Rattus norvegicus: one gene and its partners. The protein of the gene in region 6 interacts with the protein of the main gene of each other region in a biochemical or structural test. Links are inferred from orthologs where the notes say so. Each region holds a gene or a part of one and is shown on either strand. Other genes may lie near its edges.

Region 1 (4,213 bases), on a different chromosome or scaffold from region 6:
GACCATGCAGTGTCAGGTGGAGCTGTGGCTGTCACCTGCAGACCCTGTGCTCGTCCTTGTCTACAAGTGTGTGCTTGAAGACCAGCAGCTTGAGGGACAGAGGGAGCACTCCTGGCCTCCCAGAGGGTAGGATGGGTCCCTCAAGACTGAGTGTGCTCACTAGGCCCAGTCTGCCTTGCTGTCCCTCACAGGCGAACTGAGATTCTGACTCAAACACTCACATGCCAGGACTGCAGTCGGCCTTCTGTCTCCCCCCAGCCCCTGTTTTACGTGTTTATGTTGTATGTATGTAGTCCAGGCTGGCCTCTCACTCTGAGATCTGCTTGTCGCTGCCTCTGGAGTTAAAGGTTAAAGGTGTGTGTCATCATGCCTGCCCTCTGTTACTCTTACAGTGACCTTTGTGAGATGGATGAGAATTGATAGGGCTGTGGCTATTCCACCACGAGAGGACACCTCTGTCCCCTCTGGAAACTGTACGACTCTGCCCTTGGCTGACAACTGGGCCCTGCAGAAATGGCACTGCAGAGCGGTCACCACTTCAGTGGAATTTCTAGGCTGTGAGTAGGAGAAGCAGAGAAGGGCTCCCCTTCTGGAGACCAGCAGGGCCTCAGCAATCCAGGAAGGCCCTGCTCCCGAGAACCGGAGAGGCACCAGGGACCACTACCCTGATCTACATCAGAAGGCTCGTGTCAGACTTAGTCACTCCAGTGCAATCACAGGAGCCGGGGCCAAGTAGCACCGAGTCCACCCACAGCACCAACCCACACCTGTGCCTCTCACCGATGATCATGGAGAAGACACGCGCTGGCTCCTTGCCAGTGACTTTCCTGTATAACTGAGGGTAGTAGAGTTCCAGACTCTCAAGAAAGGCCACGTAGCCCTTGTGGCCTGTCCGCTGCAGGATGTCCAGGAGCACACCTTCAGGCAGAAGAGACAGAGTCAGGGCCCAGGGCTGGGTAGGTAGAGGCCCTTGGGGCTGGCTAGGATGGTTACTCTGGGTAGATAACCTAAGCTCTAGACACCCCCTTCCCTTCTGGGCCATTGCATAAGGCACCCTGCAGGTCTCAGTCTAGGTGGGACAGGGTGCTGTCTTTACTCTGGTGGCTCTGAGGATCTGAACAATGGTGGGGACTCCCTTCCCCCACTGGGCAGCAGCAGGTAGACATGACAAGAGGGGAGGAGGACCTCACTCATATCCTACATGGAGATGGAGCTGGGTGGGGCTGAGGTAGCAGACTCTGGCTGGCTGTCTTGTGGGGATGATGAGGGACTGGGCCCTGCTGGTATGGGAGCAGCCCTCACCCACTTTCCGCTTGCGGATGACCAGGTTGGGGTCACTGAGCACCTGCTCCTCATCATCGGGGTTCAGGACTTTGCACTGGCGCAGATAGGGTGTGATTCGTGAGGGGTCAATGACAGAGATTAGCTTCACCCGGAAGCTCTCCAGGGCACTCCAGCACTCGTCGTCATTTTCATAGTCTGACATGTCCTCTGTAGGCTGTGGTACAGTTGGGGAGAGCAGCTGAGGAAGTGCCCACCTTCTGTTCCCTGCTGGGCCTGGCGCAGTCAGCCTGACAGGACCCAGGCCTGGGAGTGCCAGGGCAGGGCTTTGGGCAGGGTCAGAAGGGACTCAGTCTAGGGAAATATACGGCTCAGTTTCATCTCCTCAGCTCCATGGAGAGTTTCTGAGGGGAAGCAGAGGTCCATAGGCAAGCCCCTCCTCAGGCCACCTGTTAAACCCACCTTCCCCAAGCTGCTGTCACCCCAAGCTTTCGTTGAGTCATGTGGATATGCAGGGAAGGGATGGGTTGGGGGTCTAAGAGAATAGCCCTTGTACAACAGGCCTGCTCTAGCTTCTGCCCTCTACCCTGGAGTGCCCTGGCACACCCTCAAGGTGGGAGCTTTTGCCCCTACTGGCCATCCTACATAGTACCTCCCTGGGTGGCGTGGACCCTGGCTGGCCAGTCTCCAGATTGGGACTAAGAGGGTCAGGTTGGTGGGAGGCTTTCTCACTCTGCCAGGGGGCCAGGCCTATGTGTGACTTCCTCATTCCCTGACAGGCTCCGAGTCCTTCAGGCCTTCCGTTGTAGCCAGTGATGCAACAGCCTGTGGCATGGTGCTATTCTGGGAGGGCAAGTAAGGGTTGGCCGTGGGAGCATGCCTGCCTCCCTGCTAGGCTGGGGTACACTGGACGTCTGCTGCGGCTTCCCTCCAGTTTTTCAGGTGCTAGGCAAGTCCTGTGCTTTTCTGCTGCCGGATGAGGCCTGGCCTCTGGCCACATGATGGGGATCAGTCAGGCCAGTTGAACATAGGGGCTTACTCGTGTGGAGCTGCATGTGGACAAGTGAAGCCTTTGTGAGTGGCTTCAGTGGACAGACATTTCTCTAAACCTTGGGCCCACTGCCTGCCATTCCAGCCCCACAGCCACATGGCCCAGCACTGGAGGACTATACTGCCATGGCCAGGGTTAATCAAATGAAGGGTGAGGGTGGAGGAGGCCACCTGCCTGTAGGTACTGCTGCTCCAGGGTCCCCAGCAGACTCACCACAGGCTTCCACCCACCTCCAGGAAGGTGAACTTACCTCAGGGTCCTGTGGGAGCCACCTGCCAGCTGGATGCTGCCTGGGCTATGGGCACTCCAGGAGCGAGCCTCTGGGAGTGTGGAGATGCTCCCTAACTGGAGAAGGGTGGAGCCATGAGGGAGGCTGTGCACTTCCTGATGTGTTCTGGTTGCTGCCACAAGCCAGCCAGTCCTCCCTGGGAGGGGGGGGGGGGCAGTCCCTGCTGGTCTACCTTCTGATTGGTCCATCCAGGAACAGGAGAGAGGGAAGTAGAAGTACTCTGGGAGCAGAGGAGCCCTCCCCGCCTGCTCATCTGAACTCGGACCTGGAGCCACAGAATCTGAAAATCTGGCGTTGTGGATGGGCGGTCTAAGGCCCTCCTGGATCCAGGCTTCTGAAAGCCGCTCTTCCCTCATGGCCGCCCATATCCTCACCTGCCGTCTGAGGACGGTGGTGCAGGGTAGGTGCAGCAGGACAATCCACGGGCTGTAGGCAGCTAGAGTCCTCCGTGAACTGCGTGCCCCAGCCTGAGATGGGCGTGGGGACCTGCTAGCCCTGACCAGCCAGTGTAGCTGTTAGACAGGTGCTGCTGCCTAGTCTTCGAGAGGAGTTGAAGCAAAAGCTGAGTGGGAAGGCTGGGAGACCTACAAAGAGCAGAGCCCAACCAGCCCCGTCTTTCGTGGCTTACTGCCCTTCTGTTGCTCCTGTGGGGACAGTGACCTTGGACCATACTTCTAAAAGCAGCAGTCAGGAGTCCTCTTTGGCCTGGGTGGGGTTGGGAGTGGCATTGCTAGGGACTGTGCCTTGCTGGGTTTCCAGGATGGCAAAGAGGGGTCCACGGCTTTGCAGTTACTCCAGGAAGGAGATCACAAGGCCTCCATAGTGGAGTTTGTTCCCCAAACAGTAAAAATACAGATCATGGTGTTTTCTTAAAAGTGTTAATAAAATGGGAAGCTCTTGCCCATAAATCTGAGGTAGAAATCAATCGGATAGCTGAAAAAACCCCAGTACTCCAGAGTGGAGAAGAGGTTAGAGGGAGCCATGGAAAACACTGGTCCCTGGACACATAACAGAGGGCAATGAGCTGGGCTGCAGGACAACCACCTGCTGACAGTCGGTACAAGCAGCAGGATTAGGCTGCTCACGCCATTTTACTATGAAATTTCCCACAGAGGATGGATGAACACATGCAAGAACTAACTCCTGGAGAGCCAAGGGCTTAGGACTGGTGTCACGATAATAGTGTCTAAGAAAAAAGGAGACAGGGCCGGAGAGATGGCTCAGTGGTTAAGAGTGCTGACTGCTCTTCCAGAGGCCCCGAGTTCAATTCCCAGCAACTACCTGGTGGCTCACAACTGTCTGTAAAGGGACCCGATTCCCTCTTCTGGTGTGTCTGAAGAGAGCAACAGTGTACTCATACACATAAAACAAATAATTTTTTTTTTTTGTTTTTTTTTTTTTTCCCGGAGCTGGGGACCGAAGCCAGGGCCTTGCGCTTCCTAGGCAAGCGCTCTACCACTGAGCTAAATCCCCAACCCCTAATTTTTTTTTTAAAAGGGAGAGACAGTCAGGAGGGAGAGGTGCTGCTGTCTGGGATGGGTGCTGGTTCCAGGGACCTTGCCTGGCGGTGGGGGGCCAATTGACATAGTTCC
Region 2 (3,500 bases), on a different chromosome or scaffold from region 6:
GGTCAATATTCCTAGTCCAGAGATGAGCAAGACAGATGCTTCTCTAAGGAGCCACTGTTCCATAGAGAAGGAAAAAAAAAAAATCTAACCACAAAACCACCATTCAGGGGATGGACAATTGGCCAGGCAGTTACAAGCACTGGTTGCTCTTGCAAAGAACTTGAGCTCAATTCCAATCACTTACACAATGGCCACAGCCATCTGTAATTCTAGACCCACGAACTCTGGTGCCTTCTTCTTGTGTCCTCCACAAGCACCATATGTGGTACACATATACAGAAAATAATAACAACAAGCACAACAATAATGTATCTAAAACAATAACAATAATAAGTCTAGAATTAAAAACCCTACAGTTTAATTCAGTGAAGACCACAATAGAAGAATTATAAAGTACTATGTGTATATAATTAATGAGAAAACTAAAGTCTCTAAAGTCTTAATGTACCAGGGAGACTATAACGAAAAGCATGAACATTCTTCAGGCTTCACCTACCTTCCCACCAACATCTTGAAGCACTATATTTTCAGGTTTTAGATCTCGATGTATAATTTTGTTTTCATGCAAATAACGAATCCCAGATCCTAAACAAAATTTCAAGTGTATTGTGAAATAACAGAAAATACTGTTTAAAAAATCATATCACACTTTGTTTTTATTGTTAGAGTTTTGAGACAGTTTCATGTGCCCTGTCTGGCCTGGAACCCCTATGCAGCCAAGGATTACTTCACTTCTAATTCCTAATCCTCTTGTTCTCCCTCCCAGTGCTGTGACTGCAGGCATGTTCCAGCACCCTCAGCTCTTTCCTTAGACAGGGTCTCACTATATAGCCCTGGCTGGCCTGCTGGTCTTGATCTCATGGAGATCCTTCTATCTCTGCCTCCCAGTGTTAGAATAAAAGCTGTGTGCCACCATGTCTAGCTACAGTCAGTTTTTAGCTCATATTTCTATAGATCTACACTGGTGCAAAAATTATGTCCAGAGCCATTATGGAGATGGCTCAGTGGATAAAAGTGAATGCCGTGAAAGCCCAAGGACCTGAGTTTAACCCTTGTCCCTCCCCCCAACACACACACACACACACACACACACACACACACACACACACACACACACACAAAGTCAAGTATGACTTTGTGTAACAATAACCCCAGCAGGGTTAAAAAGAGGAAAAGGCAAATCTCAGGAACTGGCTGGTCAGCCAGCCTAGTCGGAGCATGGAGCTTCTAGTTTAGTCAGAGACTCTGTCTCAAAACAATCAAGTTAAGGAAATGAGAACATCTGCCATCCTGCTGTTGCCTCCAGATGCATGCTGTGAGTGTGCACCAACAATCGCCCCCATGTACCACACACCACACCTCCCCACATTTACACGATCTATCACAGCTGCACCGCCATTAGGGTAGTTCAGATTTTCTTCACCAGAAGTTCAATGACATGAAATAAACACTGGAAAAATTATATTATATACTCTTTTAATTTATTGGAATCAACATTAAAAGCAAATGGAACGATTAATTTTTCCTGTAATTCTTATGGTCTTTTCCTCCCACCTAAATCACATTCTTTTTTTTTCCTTTTCTTTTTTTCGGAGCTGGGGACCGAACCCAGGGCTGAACCACTGAGCTAAATCCCCAACCCCCTAAATCACATTCTTAAACTAGATATTACTGTCCTTGACCCAGGAAAAGAAGCAACACTAAAACATAGAGGGAAATGAATTCTTGCTTTTTGAGGTTTCTTTAAAGGTCTAGTTTATGGTTATTTTAGGGATTTTTTTCAGTAGTAATTCTGACTAGAAGGAGAATTTCCTTCCAAGATAACTTGAGGAACTATCCCTGAAACATGTAATTCCTCTATAAACAAACTATTATGTCAGTGTGGGGGGAGGTATGAGGGGGAATGAGATGAATGTTGGTTCATACCACTTTTCTCATCACTGGACCATCTATTAGACAATAATACATAGCCAAAACCAAACAACAAACAAAACCCCCTCATATAAAAACAAATGCCAAATGTACTAGTTTTCATTAGCATCATAAGAAATGGATAATTCTAATTTTTCAGAGATATTAAAATCTATAAGTATATATATGTAGTTCTCCTTCCCTTCCAAGCAGTACACAGAAGTTTCTGTGGACCAAAGGGGCATTAAATCGCATGATACTTTAATATTAGTTACATACCTATGTCACTCAGTAAAGAAAGGATCTGGCTCTCTTTAAGTCCACAACAATTTTCTGGTTTGTTGAGTAGCTAAAGAGAAGAGAAGAAAAGAAAAGACATCTATTACTGCTGAGTGGCAACAGCGAAATCATCAACCACTATACCGTCAGAGGACACTCAAGTAAAAAAGTCACGCTACAGAAATTATAAGGATTGGGGCATAGTGGTGCATGTCTATAAGGCCAGCACATGGGAAGATGAGGCAGGACCCTGAGTTCAAGGCCAGCATGGGCTACATTGAAAGTCTGTTTTGCTACTTGTAACAATGACAAGAGATAGAAGGGTAAAAAAAAAATCATGAAATCCATACTGAGGTTGAATAAATTTGATGAGAAGGCTCATATGGAGTAAAGACGAGGGCAATAGCACTTGAAATTGAAAAATGCTGATAAAGAGATACATTTAAAATTAAATACAAAGAGTGATTATAATAAAAAGACAAGTTTTTAATAAGCCCCACAAATGTTGATATTTTTATTTAATATGACCAGCATGTTCTAGGCCAAGCATGGTGGCACATGCCTTTAATCCCAGCACTCAGGCAGAGGCAGACAGATCTCAAGACCAGCCTGGTCTAAAAAGTGAGTTTTAGGACAACCAGGGGTCCATAGTGAAATGCTGTGTCAAAAACAACAAGAACAAGAACAAGAACAACAACAACAACAACAACAAACAAAGAAACAAAAATAAAATTAAATTAAAAAAACCTAGAATGTATATAGCAATTAGTGGTTTTGGTTTTTTGTTTGTTTGTTTGTTCTTTTGTTTTGTTTTCTTGCCAACTTGGCGCGAGCTGGAGGAAAGCTCACTTGAGGCAATGCCGATCAGGCTGGCTAGTAGACAAGTCTGTGGGTCACTTTCTTGATTAGCAGTTGATGTTGCATGGCCCAGCCCACTGTGGGAAATGCCACCCCTAGACAGGCTGCAGTCCTAGATTATAACAGCAAGAAGGCTGAAGGAGTCATGAGGAACAAGCCAATAAGCAGTGCTCCTTCATGGTTGCCACTTTAGTTCCTGCCTTACTTTTCCTCAACGATGGGCTGGGATTGGTACATACAGAAACTTTAATTTTCCCAGGTTGCTTCTGTTGTTTCTATTGCTGTGGTCTTTATCACAGCAATAGAAAGCATTAAGACAAAGATTAACAAATATTTTCTGTATGGAGTCAAATATTAAGTACTTCAAGCTATGGAAGTCATAATTTCTGTTCCACTACTCAAATCTAGAACTGTTCATAAGCAGCCATAACATGCACAGAGCTGTGTTCCAA
Region 3 (3,990 bases), on a different chromosome or scaffold from region 6:
AAAGTGATATCATTGTGAGGTACATAGGTGGGCCATGACCCCAGTAACAAGAACCCTTCTAAAAGACAGATGAAAACAGGATTGGGAATGTAGTTCAGTGGTAGAGCACTTACCTAGCATGCACAAGACTGTTGGTTCAATTCCAAGCTCCTCCTATATACATAAAAGTGAAGAGGAAACAGGTGGAAACACAGGAAAATGGACATGAGAGACAGAAGCTGAGACTAAATTAATATAACCACAGGCCAAGGAACAACTGAGCCACCAGCAACTAAAAGACACATAAAGGATACTCTTACACAACTTGCAGATGGAGCATGACCTTGTCCACCTTCTGGTTTTATTCTCCTGGCTTCCAGACCTGTGAGGTATCAATTTTCTGTTCTTTTAAGCCACTGGGCCTGTGGTCATTTCTTACAGGAGTCAGGGAAATACAAATACTTGGTAAGAGAGACTTCAGAAGACTACATTGTACCTGAGAAGTATTCACTGGGGATAGAGGAGACCTCTTGTGTGCTAAGAAGTTTGAAAAGTGTGAATTGGGGTTTCAGTCTGATCTGCTTATGCTGGCTTTTAAAGCAGACAGGAATTATGCAGGACAGTACTAACCTGGAGACCTTCTAAATCCTGCCTCATTCTGACAACCAGGAAGAGAATGATCTCAATGCAAGCGTCCAGAAGTAGGCTTCCAATAAGAGAGGATGCCTATAACACTGGGGAATCTTGGCTATTTACAATAAAAGTGTTGCTACCCATGGGTCCATCTGCCTGAGCTCACACAGCTGACCCTTCCCTCTTTTTCACCTACTTTCTTCCTTCAGGCTCCAGAAAACCTCCTCACCTGGTGATTCCCACTCCCTCAAAGGCTGATTCTGCTCAGGCCCTTTTACTGAGTCCCCATTTCTTCACGTTGAGGTACTTTGGGACCTCTTTTCTAACAGCATTCACCCTGCAGTAATTCCGTCCAGTCTCATGGTTTTTAACCCAAATCTTAATGTTGATAATATCTCAAACAGTTCACATTCCCGAATTCCAGTTACATATCAAACTACTTGGATGTTTAGAAGTCTTAAAAGAAGTTGGGAGAGATGGCTCAGCTATTAGGAGCACTGACTGCTCTTCCAGAGAACCCATGTTCAGTTCACAGCACCCATGTTGGACAACTCAAACCTTCTGTAATTCCAGCTCCAGGGGATTAGGAACTCAAGGGGAAGGGATCTACAGGAGACTGTTTCAAATATATTGAAGTATGGGCAAGTGAGACAGCTCAGTGGATAAAGGCTCTTGCTATGCAAGCCTGGAGACACTAGAACATATAAAAGTGAAAAACAGGTTGCTGACTCAATGTTGTTCTCTGACCTCTACATAGTCTAGCCATGGCACCTGTGCTCTCTATACAAATCATACACCATGCATGCATGTGGAGGCGAAAGCACACACAAATAGTAAATATTTTGTGTAGCATGCCAATTATGTCTCAAGAAAGCTGTTACTGAAAATCATAATGGGTGGAGCAAGAGAGATGATGGCTCAGGGATTAAGAGCACTTGCTATTGTTGCAGAGGACACTTTCTAGCACCCATATGGTGGTTCACAAACATCTGTAACTCCAATCCAAGGAGATATGACACCTTCTTCTGACTTCCTTGGGCACTAGGAAAGCATAGCAAAGCATCTACACACATAAAATAACATCTTCTGTAGAAAAGAAAATAATTGTGGTAGAGGATTATAAGGGGTGTGAATTAAAGTTAACTATGAGCTAATAGTCACAGCTAAGAAATGTATCCATAGAACTTACTATATTATTTCTACTTTTGTACTTTTTAAATGGTTCAATAAGTAAAGGCTGACAGCACTACTATCTTTCACCTGCATTACTGCAATAATCTCTTTACAGACCATCATGCTTTGCTTTTCACTGGCCCTTTGCAATTGACCCCACTGGGACCAATTACCTCAAAGATAAGTCAAGCTACTTCTCTCGAACTCCATCAGAGTTTCCACTTCTCCCAATGCAAAAAACAAAGTCCATACAACAGCCTACAAGGTCCTATACCACCTACACTCCTACCTTACTTCCTCTCCACCAACTATTCCTCCCTCGCTCTCTCTGCTCCGGCTACTAGTCCTTCCTTTTTCCTAGGAAATGCCAAGACAACACATTCGTTCTCAGGTCAGATAAATGGTATGAGGACCTGCAAACAGATTACTATGAATCATTTGCAAAGTGAACTGAGGTGCAGAAGATATTTAGTTGTGAATGTACCCTTGAAAACTTTCTAAAGACTTCAAATGCACTCAAGTTTGATAAACACCCTGGCACACCTGTTGCTCCAGTACTCGAAAGGCTGAGGCAGAAACTTGAGTTCGAGGACTACCTGGCCTACAGTGCAAAAAGTGTTTCAGAAACAGTTAGATCAACAGAAAATGTCTCCTAACTAAAGAGTTCTACCACTAGGGGCCAAGCCCTTAGGAGACAGCTGCGGTGAAGGGAAGGGCAAATTCAAGCCAACTAGCCACCCAAGTAACCTGGGTAGCGAATAAACCTGCCTGAACCAATGCTCTAGAAGCTTGCGGCAGAACTGGGCCTAAGATGGGGGAAGGGTGTGGACCTCAGGAGTCTCAGAAGCTGCGGAACGGTCACCGATGAAGCCCTGTTTTTGGGGAAGAGGACCACACCTGTCAGCAGAGTCGGTCAGAAGTGAAGAGGGCAGGAGCAGCGGCAGAATCGGAGCTCCTAGGAAATCCTAGTCAGGCGGTCACCCTTCCCTTCTCAGCAGTGGAAAACCCCACTTCCGGCTTCCGGTGTCGTAAGTGTGGGATCCGGAAGTAAAACACAGACTCAAAGGCATTAATACTAGAGAGTTAAAACTCCGAAGTGCCACACTCTGCTCCAAAGTCTTAGACCGCCAGCCTGCGTTGGCCAGCGGAACAGCAGAATGCTCCTTACTGATAAACATCACAACTCTTATACACACAATTTTTTTTTTGGACAGGGTCCTACGTAGACCAGACTAGCCTCGAACTCAGAGATCCACCTGCCTTTTTTCCGTCTACTGGGATTAAAGCAGTGAGTCACCATGTCCACACTCGCTCTCACCCCATTTTCAAGGCATCGCATCCTCACTAAAACACCCCTGGCTCTCTGCTGCCAGGCCCCTACTAAGTTAAAAGTCTAGAGGAAGCTGCGAAACTTGGGCCCCAGAAGCCAAACTAGCCTCAGGAAGGCGTGGCTACGCTGCTAACGGAAGTGGGGTCATCCGGGAAGGTGCAGGGCCTTGGGGGCCCAGCGGAAAGCTAGACCATACATTATGGCTGGGGAGACTAAGGGAATACAGGAGAACTGAGTGGAGCTGCACCAATGCAAGCAAGACATCGCGATCGCGGGGCAGGGGCATCAGGGACGGCCAAAGGGCGGAGTTCGCCGGGATTGCGCGCGCATTTATCTCTACTCTTCTCCCCCCCCTCCTCCCCCGCACTGATAGAGTAGCCCGAAGCTCCTCCCCGCTGCCTCTCCTGAGGCGGGTCAGCTCAGTCAAAGCACACGCCCTCTTGCGTTAAATGGGCCAACGAAGCTTAGCCCCCGGAAACGGGCTGTGCACTCCAGATCTGTGAACGTGTTTGGCAGCGGCAACTAAATTCAGGTAAAGGGGTGGTCTGATGTCACATCGGTGGAGGGACATGCTGCCCGCTTGTATGCCGCGTGTTCCTTTGATGCGCGCTAATCTACAAGGTCTTAACCCATCTCTTTGTATCCCGCACTTTCTCTGCACTGGGCCCAAGAGAACTAGACCTTTACAAGAGGAGGTACGTTCCGGAATCTCCTAACTGGGCCAGAAGAGAGCCGGAGCTGAACTCCATCATCTACACAATCAAACCTGCTCAGTTCATTGTGGAGTTTCTGGCAGACACCAGAGTATGATGGTCCCATATAGAGTGTGATGCCCTGACTGTATTATATCTAGCTGCCCAGAGTGGATGCCTTAG
Region 4 (3,500 bases), on a different chromosome or scaffold from region 6:
CAGTGGGTGGCTCACAAATGCTTAACTCCAGCTCCTGGGGGACCCAGTGCCTCTGGTACACCTGGACACATGCACGCATGTGCACACACTCACACCTGAATACACACACACACACACACACACACACACACACACACACACACACACACAAAGCAAACCTAAAGGAGAGGAAGGTGTTTTCACTTTTCCAAGTGGGAAGCCAAGGTACACAGAGATAATAACGACTGCACTACCTGTGGTGTAGCTCAGAAAGAACACTGAGGCGTCTGGATGACCAGGGTTGCTACAGCTAGCCTCCTCCAGCAAGAGGCCCACCCAGGCTGTGGCTGCTGGCCACCTCCTCATGCGTGCAGCCAGGGACCAGGCCCTGCAGCCAGTTCCTTAGCACCTCTAGCCACTTCTGCAGTTGAGCCTCTGGCCTCTCCTTGGTGGGGTTGCCTCATACACTCTTCGCTGTCCCTGATCCTCTCGTCACTGTTGCCAGAAGCTGCACGGTCCTAATCTCAGCCCTCAGGTTGGGGTCCCTTTCTGCCTCCCCCTCCCCGACCCTGGCTAACCACCAAGGTCCACCTTCAACAAGCCTTTTAAGCAAGCGCTTTTGTACTGTTCCTCACCCGTCTGCTGCACCACCTGTGGAGAAAGCTGGACGCCTGCTTCCTCTGTCTCTACACCAGGCATGCAAGCTTAATTCATATGGAAGGGCTAGCCTGCTCCACACAGGGTTCTCAACTCCTTCCACCCATCGCCTTTGTCTCTTGGTGCTACGGTTGACAATGTGGCATTCCGTCTCCAGCCACTCCCGAGTGTTTTCTCCTGAAGTGCCTTCACTGGGATTGGGAAGAGGGAACCCTTCAGTGTTTCCTCTTGTGCTATGAGAATAAGGGGTGCCGGTGCTAGCCCCATTCCGTCTTGCCCCCAGTGAAACCCTACAAGCACTGCTCCAATCCAGCTTTACCAGCAGACAGCATGCGCTCTCCTGGAATATTCTCATGGTCACATCACTCCGACTCCCACGCAGGAGCCTTTCTGGTTACTCCCTCACTTCCGAGAAAGCTGGGGTTCCTGCCCTGAATTCACAGGCCGCCACCCTGCACACCAGAGTTTACGCTTCTTCTTTTTTTTTTTTTTTTTTGGTTCTTTTTTTCAGAGCTGGGGACCGAACCCAGGGCCTTGCGCTTCCTAGGTAAGCGCTCTACCACTGAGCTAAATCCCCAGCCCCGAGTTTACGCTTCTTTAGCAGGCTAGGGTGCTCTCTTTCAAGTCCTCGTCTGCGCCCTCGGTGGGTTACGGTGGATGCCAGACCCAGCTCCCCACACAGCACAGCTCTCACACTGGACACTCGGTGAATGCAGGTGGCAGAACAAGCCAGCATGTGTTACCTCGGTTCCCCTTTCTTACAGGAGGGCATATCCCCCAGCTCCCATCCCCAGGCAAATCCATCAGTGAAGCTCTGGATTCTGACTTCCCTGAGTTCTCTAGAGTGAGCACAAGTGTGAGCTTGCTGCTGTGAGCCTCGCAAGACACTGCCTCCTCCCGCTTGGCCTGTGGAGACGCTCCAGGCTTAGAATCTTCACAAAGCAACATTTTGGTTTCCTGCTTCTGTAATAAACTATCTCCTTTTCTTGCTCTTTTTGGATTTATTTTGTTATCTGAGGTAGGCCTTACTATGTAGTCCAAGCTAGCCCTGAACTTTCTGCTCCAGAGCCCCAAGGGCTGGGCTCACAGGTATGTGCCACCATGCCAGTTCCTTATCAGCCCACTAACACCTTGAAAGGAGTCTCGACATTGCTTAGGCTGGTCTAAACTCATCATCCTCCTGTCTCAGCAAGTGCTGGGATAATAAGTGTGCAACCTTCTGCTTAGCTCTGTGTGTGTGTGTGTGTGTGTGTGTGTGTGTGTGTTTGTGTGTGTGCTGCTGCTAGGGTCTGACTGGACCCAAGGCCTTAGGCACGGGGCAAACATCTTTCTGCTGAAATGTATCTCTACCCCAGAATGTCTTATAAGAGACACTCGGATGAGACACTGATGTCAACAGAAGACAGACACGGACGGGATGAGGAGGCCTGAGCCACTGAAGCTGGAGAGGGTAGTGGGGGTGGGGTGGCTTTGCCCTGGATCCATCAGAGGAGACACCATTTTGCTGACAACTGGATTCCTAACTTCCGGTATCTGAAGCTCTGAAAGAGCAATGGCTGCTGTCTGCAGCTCTTTGAGGTAATTGCTGAAGCCTCCCTTCAGGGAGCTTCCCTGACCACTCCATGTCACAGGTCAGAGCTGAAAGAGCAGCCACGGCTGAGGGAGGGGACCTGAGAGGCCGGAATAAGTCACTCACACAGGCGATCTTCAGGAGGTTCCAGAGCTCCTTCTGCCGCTTCTCCTGGAGCCGGACCACAGTCTTCTCATCCTCGTTCATGAGCCTCACCACCTCTTCTACTTTGGGCAGCAGCTCCAGGGCCTTCTGCTTACAAACCACGGTCTTACTGTGAGGGACGAAAGATCCACAGGCCTGAGAGGTCTGGGCCGGCACAGCACTGCTCTAAATACGATCTGTTCCTCATTGTGCGGGCAGATCGCAGCCGAGGAGCAAGGGCATCCACCTGCCCCTTGGCTTTGTTGATTCTGCATCCGGTCCTGGATGGGGAGAGGGAGCACCCACCTGAGCTGAGAGTAAATCACCCGCACTTTCTTCTCGAAGCTCTGGATGGCTTGCAGCAGCAGCCGTACCATATCCTGGCTGTCACCTTCTGTCCTTTGGTCTGCAGAGGAGAATGGTATCGTTCCTCCTACTGGCCTCCAGGGGAGACCACTGCCTCACAGACAAGACAAATGGAGGCTGGGGTCCGAAGCACATACCTCTTGGCTTCTCCCTGAGTCTTCTGTAGAGTTCTCTTGCTTGTTCCTCTCTGGAAAGAGAAAAGGCCATGGTCACGGCACAGCAAGAACGTTTACAGCACCAGCCCGCTGACCTCGGCCAGCAGAATCACCACTTTTCAGATGACCGGTCACATGCTCTCAGTGGGAAAAGACTGCCAGTTTGGGAATAGTTATAAAACCCAAATGCCCCAAACAAGAACAAGCTTAAAGATTATTACACTCCTCCTCTGCTTAGCTATGAGAGGCATTCGAGGTGCCATTTCTGGACCTGACCAAGAAAATACTTGCCCTCAAAAACCTAAGTCCAAAGCTAGACGTGAATGCCTGCCTCTTCCTCTAACACAGGTGGGCTGGCAACAGCCTCAGAAGGAGGCTCTAACTGATCTTGGCTGTGCACACACAGCCCAAGCCCTCAGGAAGCTGAGGTAGTAGGATTTCTGTGAATCGGGGCAAGTCTTGACTGTGTACCAGGTCTCTCAATGCTAAATAGTGAGACCCTGTTTTGAAACAACACCTGCACACACGGACATCCACATCCACATGCGCACAAGGTGAAGATTCTCATTTGGAAACTGGAAGAGAGAGGGTTAATATGTAAGATACGATGGAGAACAGATAATTCTTTG
Region 5 (3,500 bases), on a different chromosome or scaffold from region 6:
CTGACTTTCCCCCTCCAACTGTGTGTGTGTGTGCATGTGTTCACACATGTGTACGTGTGTGTGCCTGTGTACGTGTCTATGCAAGTGTGTGTGCACACACGTTTGTGTGCATGTCTATGTGTGCATGCGTGTACACAAGTCAGAAGCAGATATTGGGTGTCTCACTGGGTGTCTTTCTCACTCACTCTATGGCTTGTTTCTTCAGACAGGGCCTCTCATGAAATTAGAGACTTAACAATGTCCAGAATGGCTAGATAGTGAACTCCAGGCATCCTCCTGTCTCCGCCTCCCCTAGCTGGGGCTGTAAGTTCAAACTAGAACAATGCTGGGGTAAGCACACATCTTCAGCCCCCTCCCTTGTCTGTTCATCCTGCTAAGCTTGTCCTGGGGACAGATGTGGCTCCATGGAGGGTGAGGTGTGTACCAGACATGCCCCTGCTGGGCTGTAGGGAGAGGCCAGGAGGTCCTCACACACCTTCATGCTTCTCGGTCAGGAGTTTGGTGGCATCCAGCGAGGACCGGGAGAGGCTCCCCAGGGGACTCCCAGAGATGATTCTCACGCGCTCATTGCTGTTCATTCTTTTGTACTTGTTTTCTGACCGACTGACAAACTGTGGAGAGAAGGAGGTGTGGCAGGTGGGTGGGGCATAATCTCTTGGTTTGTGCCAAGATTGACTTGTACCAGGCAGACAAAACCTTTGCCCAAACCTTGACTCTATTCTGTGGGGTGCTCAGGGCAGATTGCCTCTGCTGTAAAAAGCCAGCCCCTGCACGAGACTCTGGAACACTCTAGTTACCGTCCCATGAAGACACCATGTGCAGCTACTGTTCTAGCTGGTGAGGACCCTGGCTGGCAGCCCCTGGGGTCCATACATGCTGGAAACCTCTGAGTCCCCCGCATTGTTCCCATGACCCTCTGGGTTCTGGGATCATGGCTTCTCACACAGTTCATATATACAGAGTCCAGGTTCCCACAGGGCACCGTTGAGTGTCTCCCTGCTTCAGAAGAGCCTGCCTGGTCCTAGTGTGTGTCAGATTCGTGCTTTTATTCTTATATATTTTGGAGACAGGGTTTCATGTAGCCCAGGCTAGCCACAACCTTACTATGTATCCCAGGAGGATTCTGAACTTTGGATCCCGCTGCCTCTACCTCCTGAGAGCTGGGATTACAAGCCTGCCCCACGGTGTCAAGTTTATGTGGTACTTGGAAAGTAACCCAGGGCTTTGAGTATGGTAGGTAAGCATTTAAACAACCGAGCCATGCCCCTAGCTTAGCCTTGAATCTTTGGCTGAGACCCTGATGACTCAAGCTTGACACATGGGCCTGACAGTGTCATGATAGATGGATGGCTCTGCCTTCCAGAGGCCTTAATACCCTGCAGGTCTCCTCCCACCAGGCTGTCTCTGTCACAGAATTGTGTCTATCTGGGATCTGGGGTCAAGGTGTTAGTTATTTCTTACTGCATTGGAGTGTAATTAATGCAGCAGCCACACAGGAAATGTGTGTGTCTGGGCTCACGGTCTTTGCTTCTCTCAACTATCGATACAAGATCTGGCTATAGTCACTGAATCTGTACCTATAAGAAATCGCACAACAAGCTCGTCAATGGTTCTTGTATTACTTTCCCCCACCCCCAAATATTTGCTATTTCTTTAGAAGTTAAGTACAAGGAGAAAAAAAAATCCATCCCGGTTCTGAAAAGATGAGCTGCTTCCACAGACAGGTAAGGTCCGAGAAACCTACTGGGTTCCCTTATCTCCTTGGCTGCCAGGATGCTCAGGTAACTGTCATGCTCCCCCAGAGAGAATACACTGGCCTACATATCCGAAGGGTTTGTTTTTCTCTCTCCAACACAGCACATCTGATTTTTCTATCATATTTTAGCAGCAGAGTTGTTGGAAGCTCTTTTGGCCTAAAGTTTCTTCGAATCTTTTATGAAAGTGAGACTGGCTTCCAGCAGGCGTGGAGTCTGTCTACAGACCTGTCACTGCGAGGATAAAATGGGACAGGAGAAGCCAGGCGCTGTGAGAAGTCACAAGGGGCGCCCGGAATACAATGCCTTGTTATGTCCCATTGGCACCTCTTCTTGGTAGGCAGAGGGTGGAGCCCCAGCAAGCTGTGCTAGGAAAGCCAGCGGGCATGCAATCACCAACCTTACCTGCAGGAGCTGACCGAAGAAGAAACTTGCTCTGGAGAGGCGGGGACTGACCCGGGGGTCGCTGGCCGAAAGCGGCTCTTCCGGCTGCAGGGTGTTCTGGAATGAGTTTGTCGATCAGCTCAGGCTGAGCGAAGGGCTCCTGAGTGTGAGACTGCAGTAGAGAGGTGTACACCCGGCCCCAAGTCCCCTCTGGCTCGGATGTGAGGGGCAACATCGAAGCCTTGCAGTCTGGCAGCAGCAGAGGCTGGGAGAGAGCAACTGCTTGTATCTGAGACCAGAGCAGGAAGGGCTGAGACACCTTTGTGAGTCTCCTAAGTCACAGGTAGGGAGGGCTCACAGGAGCTCCCCATCCCAAGGAACCAAGTCCCTTGCAATGCATCTTCCTGAAGACATGGTGACACGGCTTCTTACATGTATGGAGGAAGAGGGAAGCTTCAGGACCCCTGTCCCCACCACTCCACTGTGTGTGTGTGTGTGTGTGTGTGTGTGTGTGTCTGTGGGTGTGTGTGTGTCTGTGTGTGTGTATGTGTGTGGTGTATGTGTGTGTATATGTGTCCGTGTGTGTCTGTGTGTCTGTGTGTGTGTCTGTGTGTGTGTGTATGTGTGTGTGTCTCTGTGTGTCTCTGTGTGTGTCGTGTGTGTGTGTGTGTGTGTGTGTGGTGTGTGTGTGTCTGTGTGTGTGGTGTGTGTATGTGTGTCTCTGTGTGTATATGTGTCCGTGTATGTCTGTGTGTGTGTGTGGTGTGTGTGTCTGTGTCTGTGTGTGTGTCTATGTGTGTCTGTGTGTCTGTGTGTGTGTCTATGTGTGTCTGTGTGTCTGTGTGTGTATCTATGTGTGTGTCTGTGTATGTGTCTATGTGTGTGTTTGTGTGTCTGTGTGTGTGTTGTGTGTCATGTGTGTGTGTGTGTGTGTGTGTGTGTCTGTGTGTGTGTGGTACCTACCCGGAGGCTACGCAGGGTGTGGTGAGCGCTGTCTGCCTCTTCCCGAGTGCCTCTGTGAACCAGTCGCTGGAGCTTCACCAGGAGAAGCTGTTGAGCTCTGTGGAGGGGATATGGAAGCAGCCTTAGGACTAGGACTGAACAAGGCGTGTGGCCTGCAAACTGGAGAAACTGGGCCTGAGGGTCCCCCAAGAAACACAGGACTCCCCCTTTGGGGATGGGATCCAGTCTCTTGAAGACTGGCTGCAGGGTCATGCCCTTCCACCTGGGCTTCTTCGCTGACCACAGGACTGGCTGAGACCCACTGTCTGTGACCATCTAAGCAGCAGCAAGAGCCCGGAAGAGCAGGTGTCGCTGTGTGGAAAAACAGGCACCCAGTAGCCCTGCTCCTGCTGGGTTCAG
Region 6 (3,978 bases):
TAGGTCCTTGTCAAATTCTCTGTATCAAATGCTCTTCTCCCAGGTTCTCTATTAGAACCTTTAAGAATCAATCAAGCACACCTGAGGATCGAATTGCATGTACAATGACTGCCCTGGTGCTTGTCTTCGTAGCTCCGAGTGAACTTACAAATGTGCTTGTGTAAATGACAGACATCCTTTTCAGCTTTCACCACCTGTATGTTTGAAGCAGGTAAACAGCACGGACGTTCTGTTTACTGCTGTATACTCTGCATTTCAAAGTACAGTGCTTTAGATGAATGAAAATTTTAATATACTATTTTAAAGTTATTATTTTATGGCTATTTTCCTTCATTCAAGAAATTGAGCTTTTTTTTTTTTTAGAGATTTATTTATTTATGTGAGCACACTGTGGCTGTCTTCAGACACACCAGAAGAGGGCATTGGATCCCATTACAGATGGTTGTGAGCATCGAACTCAGAACCTCTGGAAGAGCAGTCAGTGCTCTTAACTGCTAAGCCATCTCTCTAGTCCCTTAGTTCTTAGTTTAACTGTTACATTATCAACTCAGAATATAAAGTTATCTCTATTTGTTAAAATGGAACAAATTCAACCAAAATAGGGGCATGTTAAATAAACATGAAGAAGGGGAGGAGCACTGAAGACTCGCTCCCAGCTAGCATGGGAGGACATGGACCAAGATTCTCAATGGATGTGCAAAACTTCACAGTACCAACCCCATCCCAAGCTCTCCTCCATCAAAACCAATGTAATAACCCACACAGCTAGCTATGAAGAGACTAACAGGCAGGTGACACACAGTACTGGGGAAAAGGTGCAACTCATGCCCCTGGCCAGGATTTTATCATGGTGCTCAATCTGTAACACTATAAATGTAGCAAATTCCCATTAAGTATTTTTGGACTATGGCTGACCCACAGGCAACAGAAGCCAAAGAAAGCAAACCCTGAGTCAGACAGAGCCCCATGGAAACAACTTCCCACCATTTATCCAAGCAGATAACACAGAAGGAACACCAAGCAGTTTTGGGGGAAGGATAACGAAAAGTTCCAGTTCTGAAAATAAAAGAACATGGCAAGCAGTGGTGGCTATGCCTTTAATCCCAACACTTGGGAGGCAGAGGAAGGAAGATCTCCAAGTTGAGGCCAGCTTCGTCTACAGAATGAGTTCCAGGACAGCCAGAGTTACACAGAAAAACAACAACCAAATGTATGATGTTATAGCTTGGTTCTGGTAGAAATAAAGGCCTGGAGTTGAGAAAAAAGGAAGTTCAAGAACTGCGGATAAATTTTTAAGCTTGTTATAAGCAGTTTAAAAAATAACTGGGTAACTACCTAAGAAAACTGTTTTTATAGACATCCTAAGGTGTATCTAAAGTTTCTCTAAGGTTATGGACAGCTGATACAGGTCTGACCTGAAACTGTCAGAATGGATAGACGTCGATGGGCAGAAACAAAGGTCTGCAGCACTCTTCTATCTATACTCAGGTCTTGGCTTGTTTTGCCAGCTACAAAATGAAAAGCAATTCTCTCCCTTAATGATTGTGAGAAAATTCAAAACTGTGTCCGACAACGGAGACCGCAGCTACCATATTTTAAGGTTACGGTTTTACTGGCATCTTAAGGCCGGAGTGGTTATCAAAGACCTAGTCTCAAGTAGAAATGTAAAGTTTCCCATACAGTAAGTGCCCTACCAATTCCCCTGAACACGGAAACGATGGCAGTAATGCCAGTTGGACCTTTTCCTTCTGGTACTGAGCTAGTCCAGCTGTAATTATGGGTTGGGTACAGTGCAATAAACCTTTACAAGGGGTAAGGTATAGTAGAAAAAGAGATCAGAAGCACGCGGACATCTGCAACAACTTGCAGTCAAGTTCGAAAAGACGACTTTTCACCAGCACTGCGGTGCTAGGTACGAACAAATTACTGTTTTTAAAGTGAATCCATATATATCATGTAAATGGTACTCATTTGATTTTTTTTCCTGGCAAAATAAGTAATTAAAGGGAATGAAAAACGAAGCACGTTGTGTTTAAAGCCATATTCTCAAATATTAATGTGTATGCGAAGTTCTACGTGGTCTAAGCAGGAGAGTCCAATTTAGCTATGACTATTTTCAACGTTTACCTGAGAGAGTCAAGTCTCAGCGAGAAGTAAGCACATCCCCTTCATTTAAATATGTGGGCGTCTGATTACTAGGGGAATTCCAGGGCGTCCTTTCAAAGGGCGAGCTTTCCGCAGCCCCCCGTATAGAGTTTCACCTATCTGCTCTATGCCTGGGGCATACCTGGTCCAGAGCCCGCTGTGGACAGATTCGGACCGCTCCCTAGCCTAGCAGCTCCCTCGGGGATGGGATGGAGTCGGGGATCAACAGGATGGAAAGCCACCAGCGAGAAGCCGATAGCAAAGATAAACCCAAGCCGGCGTTGACAGGTTTAACCGTGGACTCCCAGGTCTCTGGTGGATCATTTGAAGCCAGCTCCGGGGAAGCAGGCGGGTCGTGCTGTGCCGGGACCTGGCGCTCTTCCGACCTGAGGTTCCCCGTCGCTCGGCTCTGGGTTTCCGCTTTCCTCCGCCCCCGCCCGCCCCGCTGCGTCCAGCCCGGCGGAGCTACTCACGTCCTTCTTCACTTCAGTTAAGTCCTCCTCCGTGAGAGACGGCGCGGGAGCCTCCATGGCCGAGGCCGGGATGGCGTCCTTTCGGCCCGCGCCACCCCGCCCTGGCTAAGGGCTCGGGCCTCCGGGAATCGGGCTGTGACTTGGGAGGACTAGGAACAGAAGCGGGGGAACCGCCGGTTCACGGAACGCGGAGGAGGAGACCTCAACGCCCCACTTCCGGCTCCGCCTCCGGGGCCTGCGGCGCCGCACTCAGAGTCCATCCTAACTTAGGCACCACCCTTCGGCGAGGCGGGTCTACCTGCAGGCCCCGCCCACTTCCGTGCCAGCCAATCATTACTAGCCCTAGGTTTCGTCCCTTCTTCCGAAGTGGCTCCGCCCACAGCAGCCTTGCCTCTAACTACGCCCGCTTGTTATTTACTAGGATTGCGGATTGGCCCCAAGAGAAGGATTCGTTTCCGTGGGCGGGGCGTTGGCCGCTCAGTGTAGCGGGATCTCCCCGCCCTCGCAGACTCCTCTTTTGGGTAGAGTGTGGGCTGAGTAGGCCAGGGCATTTTGGTTTGCTTCTCCCTCTGTTGCGGAACAATTTCCTGTTGTGCTGGGCCAGGTTTTACAATTGCTTGATCATACACAAATGTATAATATATAACATAATATAACCAGTATTGAAATGTTTGAAAGCCTGGTCCGGGGCCTACTGCCATTTGCCACCTAGAACTTGGGAGACAGAAACAAGAAGATATTGAGTGCAGAAAACAAAATAACAAAACACAATAAAAAAACGAAAAAGGTGTTTAAGATTTAATAATTAACTGCAATCCCATCAATTTAGCAGCAGAGGTAGTGTTCAGGTACTTTTAAGTCTCTATTCGTTAGGAACATTTCTCCGTATTAATCTATGCAATAAAGATACATTTAAAAAGCTTCTAGGGTCTCTAGGAGCATATTTAAGGCTCTGAAGCTACTCGGTGCACAGTTGCACTCTCGTTTACTGTTAGCCTTTATCACTGTAAGTGCTAGGTATGTCGTGATGGGGAAGTTATCTTTTTGGAGGCCAAATGGCTATTTTCAGAATGGTATTTTAACTCGTAGCTTGTGCGGCACATAGTGGATAAGGAGCTCCACATAGAGTCCTGGGCAGAAAACGATTATGTGACCAATGCGGTAAATCTACAAGCACAGATTGAAATGACAAGACGACCAAAGGTAACAGGAATCTATCTAAAATCAAAGAACCACAAGAGGCATAGAGCCACATCTCCATAGCTCTGCTCAGAGCCCTGGAATCCTGGTATTCACATTATACCAGGTGTTTTTTCACACTGATGTCTAGTTTACTAGAGTTTTTCTGTGCCCTTAGTCA

Evidence for each region.
Region 1: the proteins of Bcl10 (region 6) and Card9 form a complex in vitro, tested with the Homo sapiens proteins (2 studies listed by BioGRID). The link is inferred for Rattus norvegicus from reciprocal best matches to the Homo sapiens genes BCL10 and CARD9.
Region 2: the proteins of Bcl10 (region 6) and Chuk form a complex in vitro, tested with the Homo sapiens proteins (2 studies listed by BioGRID, with this or other methods). The link is inferred for Rattus norvegicus from reciprocal best matches to the Homo sapiens genes BCL10 and CHUK.
Region 3: the proteins of Bcl10 (region 6) and Ikbkg form a complex in vitro, tested with the Homo sapiens proteins (3 studies listed by BioGRID). The link is inferred for Rattus norvegicus from reciprocal best matches to the Homo sapiens genes BCL10 and IKBKG.
Region 4: the proteins of Bcl10 (region 6) and Ikbkb form a complex in vitro, tested with the Homo sapiens proteins (2 studies listed by BioGRID, with this or other methods). The link is inferred for Rattus norvegicus from reciprocal best matches to the Homo sapiens genes BCL10 and IKBKB.
Region 5: the proteins of Bcl10 (region 6) and Card11 form a complex in vitro, tested with the Homo sapiens proteins (2 studies listed by BioGRID, with this or other methods). The link is inferred for Rattus norvegicus from reciprocal best matches to the Homo sapiens genes BCL10 and CARD11.

The regions. Positions count from the first base shown.
Region 1 is NC_086021.1:29,575,603-29,579,815, forward strand, and holds the start of Card9 (caspase recruitment domain-containing protein 9), read right to left. Parts: upstream 2,801-4,213; 5' UTR 2,583-2,800; intron 1,499-2,582; 5' UTR 1,487-1,498; coding exon 1,303-1,486; intron 919-1,302; coding exon 781-918; intron 1-780. UniProt on the Homo sapiens protein: Adapter protein that plays a key role in innate immune response against fungi by forming signaling complexes downstream of C-type lectin receptors.
Region 2 is NC_086019.1:252,934,274-252,937,773, forward strand, and holds part of Chuk (inhibitor of nuclear factor kappa-B kinase subunit alpha), read right to left. Parts: intron 2,261-3,500; coding exon 2,191-2,260; intron 586-2,190; coding exon 497-585; intron 1-496.
Region 3 is NC_086039.1:157,371,695-157,375,684, reverse strand, and holds the start of Ikbkg (NF-kappa-B essential modulator), read right to left. Parts: upstream 2,801-3,990; 5' UTR 2,683-2,800; intron 362-2,682; exon of another isoform or gene 300-361; intron 154-299; 5' UTR 114-153; intron 1-113. UniProt on the Homo sapiens protein: Regulatory subunit of the IKK core complex which phosphorylates inhibitors of NF-kappa-B thus leading to the dissociation of the inhibitor/NF-kappa-B complex and ultimately the degradation of the inhibitor.
Region 4 is NC_086034.1:76,067,031-76,070,530, reverse strand, and holds part of Ikbkb (inhibitor of nuclear factor kappa-B kinase subunit beta), read right to left. Parts: intron 2,904-3,500; coding exon 2,854-2,903; intron 2,757-2,853; coding exon 2,657-2,756; intron 2,481-2,656; coding exon 2,333-2,480; intron 1-2,332.
Region 5 is NC_086030.1:18,860,588-18,864,087, reverse strand, and holds part of Card11 (caspase recruitment domain-containing protein 11), read right to left. Parts: intron 3,199-3,500; coding exon 3,102-3,198; intron 2,256-3,101; coding exon 2,160-2,255; intron 612-2,159; coding exon 476-611; intron 1-475. UniProt on the Homo sapiens protein: Adapter protein that plays a key role in adaptive immune response by transducing the activation of NF-kappa-B downstream of T-cell receptor (TCR) and B-cell receptor (BCR) engagement.
Region 6 is NC_086020.1:237,500,003-237,503,980, reverse strand, and holds the start of Bcl10 (B-cell lymphoma/leukemia 10), read right to left. Parts: upstream 2,801-3,978; 5' UTR 2,676-2,800; coding exon 2,619-2,675; intron 1-2,618. UniProt on the Homo sapiens protein: Plays a key role in both adaptive and innate immune signaling by bridging CARD domain-containing proteins to immune activation.